Linked DNA regions of Macaca mulatta. The protein of the gene in region 1 purifies or fractionates together with the protein of each later gene. This does not show direct contact. Links are inferred from orthologs where the notes say so. Each region holds a gene or a part of one and is shown on either strand. Other genes may lie near its edges.

What was found. Proteins that work in one complex are often made in the same cells at the same time.
Region 2: the proteins of IFT22 (region 1) and IFT57 purify together in Homo sapiens (affinity purification with mass spectrometry; 3 studies listed by BioGRID and IntAct, counting the BioPlex papers as one, with this or other methods). This does not show direct contact. The link is inferred for Macaca mulatta from reciprocal best matches to the Homo sapiens genes IFT22 and IFT57.
Region 3: the proteins of IFT22 (region 1) and IFT25 purify together in Homo sapiens (affinity purification with mass spectrometry; 3 studies listed by BioGRID and IntAct, with this or other methods). This does not show direct contact. The link is inferred for Macaca mulatta from reciprocal best matches to the Homo sapiens genes IFT22 and IFT25.

What each region holds. Positions count from the first base shown.
Region 1 is NC_133408.1:48,589,771-48,594,858, reverse strand, and holds the start of IFT22 (intraflagellar transport protein 22 homolog), read left to right. Parts: upstream 1-1,792; 5' UTR 1,793-1,889; coding exon 1,890-1,928; intron 1,929-4,207; coding exon 4,208-4,284; intron 4,285-5,013; coding exon 5,014-5,088. UniProt on the Homo sapiens protein: Small GTPase-like component of the intraflagellar transport (IFT) complex B.
Region 2 is NC_133407.1:175,430,679-175,434,744, forward strand, and holds the start of IFT57 (intraflagellar transport protein 57 homolog), read left to right. Parts: upstream 1-1,266; 5' UTR 1,267-1,349; coding exon 1,350-1,561; intron 1,562-4,066. UniProt on the Homo sapiens protein: Required for the formation of cilia. Plays an indirect role in sonic hedgehog signaling, cilia being required for all activity of the hedgehog pathway.
Region 3 is NC_133406.1:186,671,223-186,675,484, forward strand, and holds the start of IFT25 (intraflagellar transport protein 25 homolog), read left to right. Parts: upstream 1-1,462; 5' UTR 1,463-1,479; coding exon 1,480-1,577; intron 1,578-4,262. UniProt on the Homo sapiens protein: Component of the IFT complex B required for sonic hedgehog/SHH signaling.

The DNA of each region.
Region 1 (5,088 bases):
TGGCGGGAACCCGGGAGGCGGAGCTTGCAGTGAGCCGAGATCGCGCCACTGCACTCCAGCCTGGGCAACAGCGTGAGACTCCGTCTCAAAAAAAATAAATAAATAAAAAATAAATAAAATAAAATGAGGACTGGCTGGGCACAGTGGCTCATGTCTGTAATCCCAGCACTTTGGGAAGCCGAGGCAAGCAGATCATGAGGTCAGTAGTTTGAGACTAGCCTGGCCAACATGGCAAAACCCCGTCTCTACTAAAAATACAAAAATTAGCCAGGCATGGTAGCGTGCACCTGTAATCTCAGCTACTCGGGAGGCTGAGGCAGGAGTAACACTTGAAACCAGAAGGCGGAGGTTGCAGTGAACTGAGATCACACCACTGCACTCCAGCCTGGGCAACACAGCAAGACCCTGTCTCAAAAAAAAAAAAAGAAAAGAAAAAAAGATATTAATTTAATCCATCAACAATGACATGCTGAAATTAAGAACTCTTCCTTACTGTTCACTCAGCAGTTATTTATTTTTATTTATTTATTTTGAGACAGAGTCTTGCTCTGTCACCCAAGCTGGAGTATGGTGATGCCATCTTGGCTCACTGCAACCTCTGCCTCCCTGGTTCAAGTGATTCTCCTGCCTCAGCCTCCTGAGTAGCTGGCATTACAGGTGCGTGCCACCACACCCGGCTAATTTTTGTATTTTTAGTAGAGACAGTTTTCACCATGTTGGCCAGGCTGGTCTCGAACTCCAGACCTCAAGCGATCCACCAGCCTCGGCCTCCCAAAGTGCTGGGATTACAGGCCTGGGCCACGGAGGTTGGCCAAGCAGTTCTTTTCAATACAAAGACTATGTAACTATGTTACCGAAGGTTAAAGATTTGATAGTGGGTTGACGAGGAATTTTTGTCTTGTCAGCCCTTTGTGGGCCAGAATATTTTGCACCGGCACTCTCCGCACAGAGACATTTAATATCATGGCCTTATCCGAAATTCTGACTTGACTCTGTATTTTCAGACTGACCTGACTGAATTTAGCAGCAATGTTTCTAGACACCTGCACTGACTAAAGGATTCCAGCCATCATCTCTTTGGTTTCACCTAGGTCAGACGAATGATAGTGAGTGGTGAATCCTTTTACAGAAACCAGACTTTCACCTGAGCTTTTTTAAGCTGGGTCACAGCTATGATAAATCGGCTCCCAAGTGGACAGCCACAGTGATATCATGCCACAGTGATAAAGGAGTCAAGGCCTAGTTCCAAGGCCAGCTTGGCACTTGTATGGCCTGTCTGAGCTCTCGAGATTATTGGGAGAAACAACAATTTGGAAACGGCCATTCCGCCCCCTCCTGGAGTCTTGCTTTCCGCGTCTCTACCGAGACTGATGGAACGGGCTTGCAGTCCCAGAATTTTGGTGAGGTGGAGGTGGGAGGATCGTTTCAGCCCAGGAGTTCGAAAACAGCCTGGGCAACATAGCAAAACCCGGTCTTACAAATACAAAAATTTTAAAAATTAGTCGGACGTGATGGCGTGTGCCTGTAGCGCCAGCTACTCGGGAGGCTGAGGCAGAAGGATCGTTTGGGCCCAGAAGTTGGAGGCTACAGTGAGCCGAGATCGCGCCACCGCCCTCCAGCCTGAGCGACAGAGTGAAACCCTGTCTCTAAAAGAAATAGAGGCCAACCCTGCAGAACCGCGTCTGCAGCCCGGGCTTTGTGACTTCTCTCCAACCCCCACCCAGTCACAGACGCGCCCACTTTCCGCCGCGCGCGCCGGAAGTGGCCGAGTCCCGTCGGCCCCTGCGGGGCGCTCGCCGTCGCCATGGAAACGAAAGCGGCCCGGGAGCTCTCTGCCCTAACGCGCCGGCTACGGTGGGCTCCGGCCTGCTACGCCGCGGCGGACAACGATGCTGAAGGCCAAGATCCTCTTCGTGGGGCCTTGCGAGGTGAGTCCCAGCCCGGCGCGGCAGAGGGAGCGGGGAGCAGGCCTCGGGGCCTGAGCGAGCGCAGGTCCCCACCCGTCTGGTCTGTGGCTTGCTCCAGGAGGCGGGAACCCGGGCCCACCGCGCCCATCCCGGCTGGCGCCCCTGCCCTTTCCGCGAACTCCGTGCTTTCAGACCTTGATTCCAACGACTGCCCGGAGGAGGTAGTGGAGGCGAGCCCGGTGTTAATGAGCCCCGAAGGCCCAAGGTACTGAGTGGCGTCACTGGAACCACAGCCTAGATTTCGTGACTCTTTCTCTTGCCTCCGGGATCCACCTGATGAATGCGTCTGTGGGTCTGGACTTTTGTTTGAGACAGGTTCTCGCCCTGTCGTCCAGGCTGGAGGGCAGTGGTGTGATCATAGCTCACTGCAACCTCGACTTCCCTGGGCTCAAGTAGTCCTCCTGCCTCAGCCTCCTGAGTACCTGGGACTACAGGCGTGCACCACCACGCCCGACTAGTCTCGCCCTGTCACCCAGGCTGGAGTGCAGTGGCATGATCTTGGCTCACTGCAAACTCCGCCTCCCGGTTTCAAGCGATTCTCCTGCCTCAGCCTCCTGAGTAGCTGAGATTACAGGCCCACACCATCACCCCTGGCTAAGTTTTGTATTTTTTGTAGAGATGCGTTTTCACCTTGTTGGCCAGGCTGGTCTCTAACACCTGACCTCAAGTGATCCGCCCGCCTCGGCCTCCCAAAGTGCTGGGATTAAAGGAATGAGCCACCACGCCTGGCCTTAATTTGTTAATTATTTGTAGAGACAAGATCTTGCTATGTTGCTTAGCACCTAGGCTGGTCTCCAACTCTTGGGCTCAAAAGGCCTCCTGCCTCAGCCTCTCAAAGTTCTGGGATTACAGGTGTGAGTCACTGCTCGAGGCCTGGGCGTTTTACTATATGGTCCTGGAACCACTGGCTATTAATGTGTTTGTTGGGGGTGTGGTAGTGGGGATCAGATCACATCTACATGTAAACTTCACATCATCCACAGAAATAAAGCTCAGATGAACTAAAGCTAAATGCGTTAAAAAACAAAACAAAACAAAACCAAAAACAAAAAACTGGCCAGGCACGGTGGCTCACGCCTGTAATCCCAGCACTTTGGGAGGCCAAACAGGTGGATCACCTGAGGTCAGGAGTTCGAGACCAGCCTGACTAACATGGTGAAACCCCATCTGTACTAAAAATACAAAAATTAGCTGGGCATGGTGGCGCATGCCTGTAATCCCAGCTACTCGTGAGTCTGAGGCAGGAGAATCACTTGAATCCGGAGGCGGGGTTGCAGTAAGCCAAGATCGCGCCATTGCACTCCAGCCTGGGCAACAAGAGCGAAACTACATCTAAAAAAATAAATAAAACTGATAGAAGTCTTAGGCCAGGCGCAGTGGCTAACACCTGCCAGCACTTTGGGAGGCTGAGGTGGGGAGATCACTTGAGCCCAGGCATGCGAGACCAGCCTGGGCAACATAGGGAAACCCCATCTCTACAAACAATACAAAAATTAGCTGGGCATGGTGGTGCACATCTGTAGTCCCAGCTACTCAGGAGGCTGAGGCGAGAGGATCACTGGAGCCCTACAGATCAAGGCTGCAGTGAGCTGTGATCATGTTGCTGCACTCCAGCCTGGGCAACAGAGCAATACCTTGTCTCAAAAAAAAAAAAAAAAAAAAAGCAATGTGTATTACTCATATAATCCAGATGGACAGACTGCTCCATGTGAGATTATAAGACAGCTAGCCATGAGTCCCCAGGCTGACTTTGATCCTCTCTGTGACCTAAAAGAACTCCTTGGCCAGGCGCAGTTTCTCATCCCTGTAAACCCAGCACTCTGGGAGGCCCAGGCGGGTGGATCACCTGAGATCAGGAGTTCGAGACCAGCCCAACTAATAAATACAAAAGTTAGCTGGGTGTGGTGGTGGGCGCCTGTAATCCCAAATACTTGGGAGGCTGAGGCAGGAGAATCATTTGAACCTGGGGGTTTCAGTGAGCCCAGATCACAGCCTGGGCAACAAGAGTGAAACTCTGTCTCAAAAAAAAAAAGAACTTAATCCCATGCTCCCTGGGCCCCAGACCAGGCTGTGCCCACTGCACTAGAGCAAGACAGTGTGGTCATAACCACCCCAGTGATCTCAGGGTGCCAATGACCTATACTGCACCGCACCAGCTTCCAGGCCACCTCTTGGGGTGATTTTTTCGGTTTCCTTTTCTGCCTTTCAACAAAGACCTTTATTTGCACTCATTTTCACAGAGTGGAAAAACTGTTTTGGCCAACTTTCTGACAGAATCTTCTGACATCACTGAATACAGCCCAACCCAAGGAGTGAGGTGAGCCCTGACAAATCTGTGTCCACAAGAGTGCCCAACTGGCTGGGCAGGGAGGCTCATGCCTCTAATCCCAGCGCTCTCGGAGGTCAAAGTGGGAGGATCGCCTGAGCCCTGGGCAATATAGGGAGACCCCATCTCAACTAAAAATAAAACATTAGCCAGGTAAGTTGGCATGTGTCTGTAGTCTCAGCTACACAGTAGGCTGAAGCAGCAGGATTGCTTAAGGCCAGGAGTTGGAGGCTGCAGTGAGCTATGATCGTGCCACTGCACTCCAGCCTGGGTGACAGAGTGAGACCCTGTCTCAAAAAAAAAATTTAATAATAAAACAATCTAAAAAGACTGCCCAGCCATCACCCACCTCCTACTTTTGTTGCTGTTGGCATTCCAAAAGTGTAATGCAGCTTCATTATTGGTGCTACTGCTGCTCTTCTTCTTCGTCCTGTCTCCCAGGCTGGAGTGCAGTGGCACAATCTCGGCTCACTGCAACCTCCACCTCCCAGGTTCAAGCGATTCTCCTGCCTCAGCCTCCCCAATAGCTGGGATTACAGGTGCCCACCATCATGCCCGGCTAATTCTTTTATTTTTAGCATAGCGAGGGTTTCACCATGTTGTCCAGGCTGGTCTCGAACTCCTAACCTCAAGTGATCTGCCTGCCTCAGCCTCTCAGAGTGCTGAGATTACAGGCATGAGCCACCGCACCCAGCCTACTGCTCTTCTTTTTCCTTTTAGGATCCTGGAATTTGAGAACCCGCACGTTACCAGCAACAACAAAGGCACAGGCTGTGAATTCGAGCTATGGGACTG
Region 2 (4,066 bases), on another chromosome or scaffold:
AATGGTATTTGCCCTACTGACTTTTCACTTTGATAACCTTATTAGTATCAGAAACAAGTTAGCTGTAGACGGATTAAAATGAAAAGTGTGTTCTCATTTTTCTAACAAAAACAGGATATTGTAGATACATTTCAAATTTCAGTTATCCAAAAATGTGGCCCTTCTATACTTTGTAGTGGCAGACACAAGAAAGAGATCAGTGAGCCCTTGAAAGTCACGTTATAAACACGAACATATATGTTCAATCTCTTGTATTAAGTTTTCTTCCAAAAAACTGCCAGGCATCCACCACTTACCTCATTTTTTGCAACTGTTAAGAAAATTGCCCGATACACAATCCTTTTGAAAACTGTAAAGCTGGGCCATTTCTGTGGTCAGTTATGTACCTTTTCTTGAATTTTCTAGGTCAATAACTGCAGAATACAGTAGTAACACCCTATCTTTAGCCACACTTAGAGCTTTAGGGCAGGGAAATTCCTTTTAAGACCATCTCTATTCTGCTGGATTTAACGAAGTACCCAAAAACTTTATACTACATGTTATGGGTTTGAAACAGATTAAGCAGCAGGCTGGAAGCTTAGTATTCTTGTTTTTGAAGTAAAACAAAGCCTCCCAAATGCCTCCTTTTGTTCGTTGTCTTCTTCCTCATCCTTCCAACCACTTTCCTAGCACTGGAGTAATAGCCAGGCAATGCAATACAGTACTTCAAGCTTTACAGTATACTGTTATGTGCAGCATTGCCTAGTGAGAGAAAGATAAAATTAAAAAAAGAAAGAACGAGAGAAACCTCTTGTTGGAAAGTTCCTGCAGTAAAAGTGAAACCTATGGTATTGACTATCTTTACAACTATGAACAGCTTCTCAATTCTGAGAAAATAAAGGTATCAGTGGGCCAGTGCAGCCTTCAATACTGCACGTCTTCACCTCCCTTTAATCTTTTTAACAGCTACTAGCTGACCCAGATGCCCGCTTAGTTGCCTTTAGCAACCACCAGGTCCAACACACCTCAAGCCAGCTCAGAGTCACTAGCCGCCTCTCCTCAGTCTTCCAGAAGCCGAGGGAGGAGAGGCAGCGGGGGGTGGGGCGCGAACACCACGCCTCCATGAGGGGCGGTGCTGCTTCCCGACCACCATTTCCGCGGAGGCAGGGCAAGAGGCGGGCCACGGGCGACGTCATTCAGGAAAGCCGCCCTGATTGGAGGGAAGGAGGCGGAGTCTAGTTTCCCTGGTGACGGGTTGTCCGGTGGTCGCCTGGTAACCGGTCGTGGCTGTACTGGCTGCTGCAGGGCTGGCGGCTTAGGCCGCAGAGGTCTGTGGGCCTGAGCCCACGCTGCACTCTGTCCGTCCTGCGATGACTGCTGCCCTGGCCGTCGTCACGACGTCGGGTTTGGAAGATGGGGTGCCTAGGTCCCGTGGCGAAGGGACCGGGGAAGTGGTCGTGGAGCGGGGGCCCGGCGCGGCCTACCACATGTTCGTGGTGATGGAGGACTTGGTGGAGAAGCTGAAGCTGCTCCGCTACGAGGAGGAGTTCCTCCGGAAGAGCAACCTGAAGGCCCCGTCCAGGTGGGTGCCCGTGTCCCCAAGCGCCTGGGTGCCTGCTAGCCTCCAGGGAGATGCCCTCCTTGGTCCTGCTGGGAACCAATTCCGTGAGAGCGGGTTAGCAATTCCTTGCCTCCGTCTGCCTAGCCAGAGAAGGGCACTTCACTCCAAACTCCGGGGAGGTCCGTGGAGCTCACGCAGCCCTGACTTGCTGTTTTTGTAGAGAGAATAAATAAGTTTTGGAACGGCAGAAAGGATTGGAAGACAGCTTGCCTGTTTTTTTTTGTTGTTGTTGTTGTTTTTTAACACACACGCATTACCACAAAACACAAACTGTATTTTATGATTGTAAAGATAAAACAAATACTCATTGTAGAAAACTCAGAAAAACACAAGAAAATGTCTAGAAAAATTATAAAACCGCCCAAAATCTCGTCTCCAGAGAGGAATGCCATTATCACTTAAGGCTTTTTTTCTAGTTTGGGGTTTTTTTGTTGTTGTTGTTTAAGACCCTGTTTATACAACTGGGGACCGTGGGTACTTACGACCCTGTTAAGGAGCGCTTTAAATGCGGCTAGTAAACTTGTTAACTACTTGCTATGGTTTAAAAGACTTCTGCCTTTGCAATAACCATACTCTCAGAAACTGAAAAGTGGAAAAGACGAATGACAACTATTGAATTGTCTCCTATCATAGAACCTAAAGTTCTACCCTTGTTCCGGTGGGGGAGAAGTCCAACATATCCTGAACGCAGTGCCATTACTTGCTGAGGGTAGTGGTCGGCTAGGACCTTCTCCTCAAATCACTGTAGCTTAGCAGTAGCCAGGTAAATCAGTTTTATAGCTTTTCTTTCACTTTAATACTTACGTTTATTTTATTCCATAAAAGGCAATCAATAGTAAGAATCTATAGTACTTAATGTCTACAGCCAGGCTCAAATAATTTCCCTTGATAGTTTTAATCTCATTCCACTGCTCTCTTACAATAAATTGAATTGAAAGATATGTAGGCTTTATGTAAACTGTTCATATTAAATTAGTCCATAGTCGGAGAAAAGATAAAGGAAAAAAGTAGTGTTGCTTGATCCATGTTAGAAAAGGTAGTCCTGGGATTATTAAAGTGAATCGATCAGGATAGTATAGACAACCAACATTTCCTGTATTAATAAAAATGCATTTTTTTCCAAGTGTATTTTTCAAATGAAAAGAAAATGACCTTAAGGTTCTGTTGATGTCATCTCTGTGTCTTCAGGGGTTCAGCAGGACACTTTGAATCATGGATTTGTGTGGGAATATCCTAGTCTAATGGTTCTCAAAGTGTGATCACCAGACCAACAGCATCAGCATCACCTGGGCACTTACTAGAACTGAAATGCCTCAGGCCCTTTCCCAGGTCTATCTACCTTTTCAGTAATTATAAGGATGGGGACTAGTGGTCTGTTTCAGTAAGTCTTCCAGATGATTCTGATGGACACTAATATTTGAGAACCACTGTCCTAGGTTTACAGTATCTATTGGTGTTCATTCCTGTGCTCTAGAGGAGTTATCTGCCAATAAGGAAAAGATGACTTTTTGGTGGGTGGATGCTTTGAAAGGATAGTTAGCATATACCTGGAAGGACTTCATGGCCTTTTTTCTTCCCAGCTTTCTGTTATCTTCCAGAACGTTTACACTTATCCTGCAGGATAAAGTTTGGGAAACATGAAGGAGTACACGACTGATTTTTATGACAATGATTATAATTGTTGTAAATACATTGCAAACATAATAATGATAGCTACACATGAACAAGAAAAATAAGATCTTTGATTAAACTGACTTGAATGTTGTTGCTAGTGAGTTTTATTCCTATAATGTTTAGGTATAAATCATACTGATCCTCATAGAACTGTGTTTAGCAGACCAGGGGATTAAGCAAGAGCCCACAGATGTTTTTTAGATTGGTGATGTGACATTCACAGTTTCTTAATCCTGACTACACCTTATAAACATGTAGAAAGCTTTTGAAATATACCCCATACTGGGCCTACACTCACTGAAGTTCTGATTTAATTCATTCATGAGGGAAGAAGCAATGTTTGGCCAAGTACCAGTATTTTTATTAGCTCCTCAGGTGATTGAATATGCAGCCAAGATAAAAACAAATGTTTACCATAGGTGATAGGTTAGAAAGAGTAAAAATGCATAATGAGTAATCTTTTGAGATCTCTTTTAAACTCTGAGGTCCTTCCAGATTACCATTTTCGTTAATAAGGTACTAATATATTATTACTGACACTTAAATCATTTTGACAAAAACTCTACATGCTCTGTGCTCTAACAGGCACTACATTTCCCGGGTGTAAGGTCTTTGATCTCATATTTTGGGTACAGTAGTAATTGCGCTAATCCTGATGATTTAAAAATTTAATGTGAGTGCTGTGGATTACTGGAAACTTGAAAGGGTGAATTATCGAGGCCTTTTGATTTGATGGCCATTGGGGGGAAGAAAGATTGTTGGACAGTTGTGAATTCGGCCCTATTAGTTATT
Region 3 (4,262 bases), on another chromosome or scaffold:
TGAGTAGGATAAGGATAGAAGTTCTCCACAAGTTCATTTTCTTCCATTAATCATCATTCTTTGAGTATAGCCACTCAGAGTTAGAAATATCTACCTAGAGTACTGGCTGTCACCCAATTCATATTTCTCTGTCGGGTTCACAGGGTATCTTGAGAAGCTTTGTCTGAAGCTTTGTCGAAATGTTTAGAACATGTTCCAAATGGGTAGGAATTCCATCAGACAAACAGAAATGTATAGGTTTGGTTTAGCTTGTAAACTAATGTTACTGCTACTTCCAATTTTAGTACTTCCTTGGTTACATTTTCAAGGCTACCATTTTAATAATGAATTTTAATAATTTTAGGGTTTTGTTGAGAATTAGCATTCAAGTTTATCAATCTGTATTTACAGAATTCATCATCTTTCTCCTCTTAAAACTAAGGCTTGACAATTCATCCCACACTGACTGTTTTTCTGGTATCAATAGTGTCAAAAGCTGTGGTAAGATTGATAGAGAAAAGAGGCACAAAAAATTAAAATATATGTGTTTTCTTACCAATGTTACCACACTTTTAATACTATCGATACTAATTTTTAAAATATAATAGAAAGTGAACTGTATTCTAATAAATAAAAACTAAGAATAAATGCATTTTTATAAAATACTGATACTGGCCGGGCACAGTGGCGCATGCCTTTAATACCAGCACTTTGAAACGCTGAGGCAGGAGGATCACTTGAGGCCAGGAGTTTTAAGACTAACCTGAGCAAGCTGGGTGTGCTGGCTCACGCCTGTAATCCCAGCACTTTGGGAGGCTGAGGTGGGCGGATTACGAGGTCAGGAGTTTGAGACCAGTCAGGCCGACATGGTGAAACCCCGTCTCTACTAAAAATACAAAAATTAACCTGGCGTGGTGGCGGGTGCCTGTAATCCCAGCTACTCAGGAGCTGAGGCAGGAGAATCGCTTGAAACCGGGAGGCAGAGGTTGCATTGAGCCAAGATCGTGCCATTGCACTCCAGCTTGGGCAACAAGAGTGAGACTCCGTCTCAAAACAAAGACTAGCCTGTGCAGCATAGCAAGACCCCATCTCTACAGAAAAAAAAAAAAATTTTTTGGCCTCCCAAAGTGCTGGGATTACAGGCATGAGCCACCGCACCCGGCCTAATTGAGTATTTTTATGGTATTCCATGTTGTTCTCCTCTGTTGACCTTCTTCCTGTACCTCTGTGTTTTTGTTTTTTTGTTTGGCTAGGGTAGTCAGGGACTTATTTTGTGAAGCAGAGTGGCAGAAATAGTCATGTCATATAGATTATCCCTGGGAGAGGTTTCTTATATAAACAAACATGTTAGAGTCCCTCCCACATGTTGAATAGCTTGGCTGTTAAACCATCTGCTAGGCAACAGCCTTTCCTTCTCACTTGGTTTTCTCAGATAAAGTTTAGAGAATCAAGAAGTTGCTTTTTTTGTTATTTTTTGATTTGCAGGTTAAACATTTTAAGATGAGAAAAATTGATCTCTGTCTGAGCTCTGAAGGGTCCGAAGTGATTTTAGCTACATCAAGTGATGAAAAACACCCACCTGAAAATATCATTGATGGGTAAGAGTTACTATAGTTTGTTGTTTACAGTCTTAAATCAGTGAATCCCTTGAGTACTTGGACTGTGTTTTATAACAACTTGCCCTATTAAACATAGTTTAATAAATGTTTGGTGAATTATCTGATATCCACTTTTGGTACCATTTCTGAAACTAATTCAGTTGTGTATATTTAGGTTTTTGATCCTTTTCTTTATAATGCCTAAACTGAACTCTTCATACAAATAGGTTTTTTTAGAAGTGGTTTACCAAGGCAAAAACTCAAACAACTTCATTTTATGGAAGTGTAAATTTTAAGGTCTGGTTTTGGTTTTACTCCAAGTTTTTCTTGGAATAAGAATGTAAATATTATAACTTCCTATATACTACCTATTTCCTTACTGGTCTAAGTGATATCTTTGCAGAACTGAATGCTTCATTCCGTGCTATCACGTATTGTTTTGCCTCTCCCCTTGTTGATATCCTTCCAATTTCTACTCTTCATTGTGCTACAGCTTTTTCTAGGTGGATATTTTTCTAAATATTGTTCTTAGACTTCTGATTCCAAGAAAAAGCAGTTAATGGGAGAACTCCTTTTTTTCTTTTTTTTTTTTTTAAGACAGAGTCTCACTCTGTCACCCAGGCCAGAGTCCAGTGGCGCCATCTTGGCTCACTGCAACCTCCACCTCCCGGGTTCAAGTGATTCTCCTGCCTCAGCCTCTTGAGTAGCTGGGACTACAGGAGTACGCCACCACACTGGGCTAATTTTTGTATTTTTTAGTCGAGACGGGGTTTCACTATATTGGCTAAGCTGGTCTCAAACTCCTGACCTTGTGATCCACCCACCTCAGCCTCCCAAAGTGCTGGGATTACAGGCATGAGCTACTGAGCCCACCTGAGAACTCCTTTTTATTTTGAGACGGAGTTTTGCTCTTGTTGCCCAGGCTGGAGTGCGATAGCACAATCTCGGCTCACCAAAACCTCCACCTCCCGAGTTCAAGTGATTCTCCTGCCTCAGCCTCCCGAGTAGCTAGGATTACAGGCATGCACCACCACGCCTGGCTAATTTTGTATTTTTAGTAGAGATGGGGTTTCTCCATGTTGGTCAGGCTGGTCTTGAACTCCCGACCTCAGGTGATTTGCCCACCTTGGCCTCCCAAAGTGTTGGGATTACAGGCGTGAGCCACCGTGCCTGGTGGAGAACTCCTTTTTTAATACTTCTGGCTTATTACTTTCTTGAACCCTCTTTCTTGGTATATGTACAGTGACCAGAGTTTGACTCATAGAACCATCTAATTTTAGGCCTGGAAGGACTTGTGGGTTTATTTTGCCAAAACCCTTTATTTCAGACTTGTGGTGAGAGAGGTCTAAGGAGGTTAAGTACTACTTTTAATTATTGAAGGCAGAACCAGTTGTAACAGAGGTTTCATGATACTTTATGTATCTTGAAGCCCATGTATCTGGATGAAATTCTAGCAACTCAGCCTCTTCCTTGAAGCCTAGTTGTAATCTTTATGACAACTGACTTTTCCCCTCAGATTCCTTTAGCTCTTTGCTGGGGTCCAATAACAGTTGGTATATACCTCTGTTACCTTACTTTTTCCTTTATTGTATTGTTTATTTTTAATGGTTGTTTCCTCTCTCAACTGTGAATTCCTAGAAGTCAGAGACTTTTTCTATGAGTCAAACTTGACTAATATTGGAAAGTAATCAACATCTACACACACACGCATACATATAAACACATATATATGCACATATTACTCTACATTTGCATAGGGCTTTATAATTTCATAGATACTTTGTCAGTTGACCCTTACAGTAATCTTGGGGAATAAGAAGCACAAAAAAGTATTTTCAACTCCTTCGTAAAGATGAAGAAAAGAATGATCAGATGACTTGCTCAAAATAAAAATGACTTGCTCAAAATTACACAGATAAGCAAGAGGCAGAATCAGCTAACACTCATGTCTTCTAACTTGTACTCAGGGATCTTTGTGCTACACTGGGTTAACTCAAACTTAGTTTGAATCAAAAATTTAATATCTGCTTTTTGCCTGTGTCTCTTCTTTCTTTTTCTTAGTTGTTTACTTCCTGAAATTCAGGTAATAGTTACTATCCTACTCTGACTTGGAGTAGAAAAATTAATATGGGAATTGCTTTAAGAATACACAGAACTGTGGAGATTTGCCTTAAGTTGTTTGCCAGAAATAGAGGACTTTCCAGAAACACTCCTTGATTTTGATTGGAGATAGATTAGTTTTCCAAGGCAAGATCAATTTACCTTGCAATACTTTGGTGATCTTTCTCTCAAGCGAGTCTGTTTTATATGTTTATAGAATGTTAGGATTAGCTATCATATATTGCAGTTAATATTTTAGGCTCTGTCCATTTTGATAAATAAGGACATAATATTTTTTAGATTAGACAAAAACTCTTAGTACAGGAAAACATAAGGAATAATGTAGTTACTCTCCTGATAACTGAACAGAGTACATAGGGGACTTTTAATGCATATGCAGTTCTAGAAAATATAATTAGACTGTATATTGTAGACACTAAAAGTTAATTTCTGGCCAGGTGCGGTGGCTCATGTCTGTAATCCCAGCACTTCAGGAGGCTGAGGCAGGCAGATTAGTTGAGGTCAGAAATTCAAGACCAGCCTAGCCAACTTGGTAAAACTCTGTCTCTACTAAAAATACCAAAA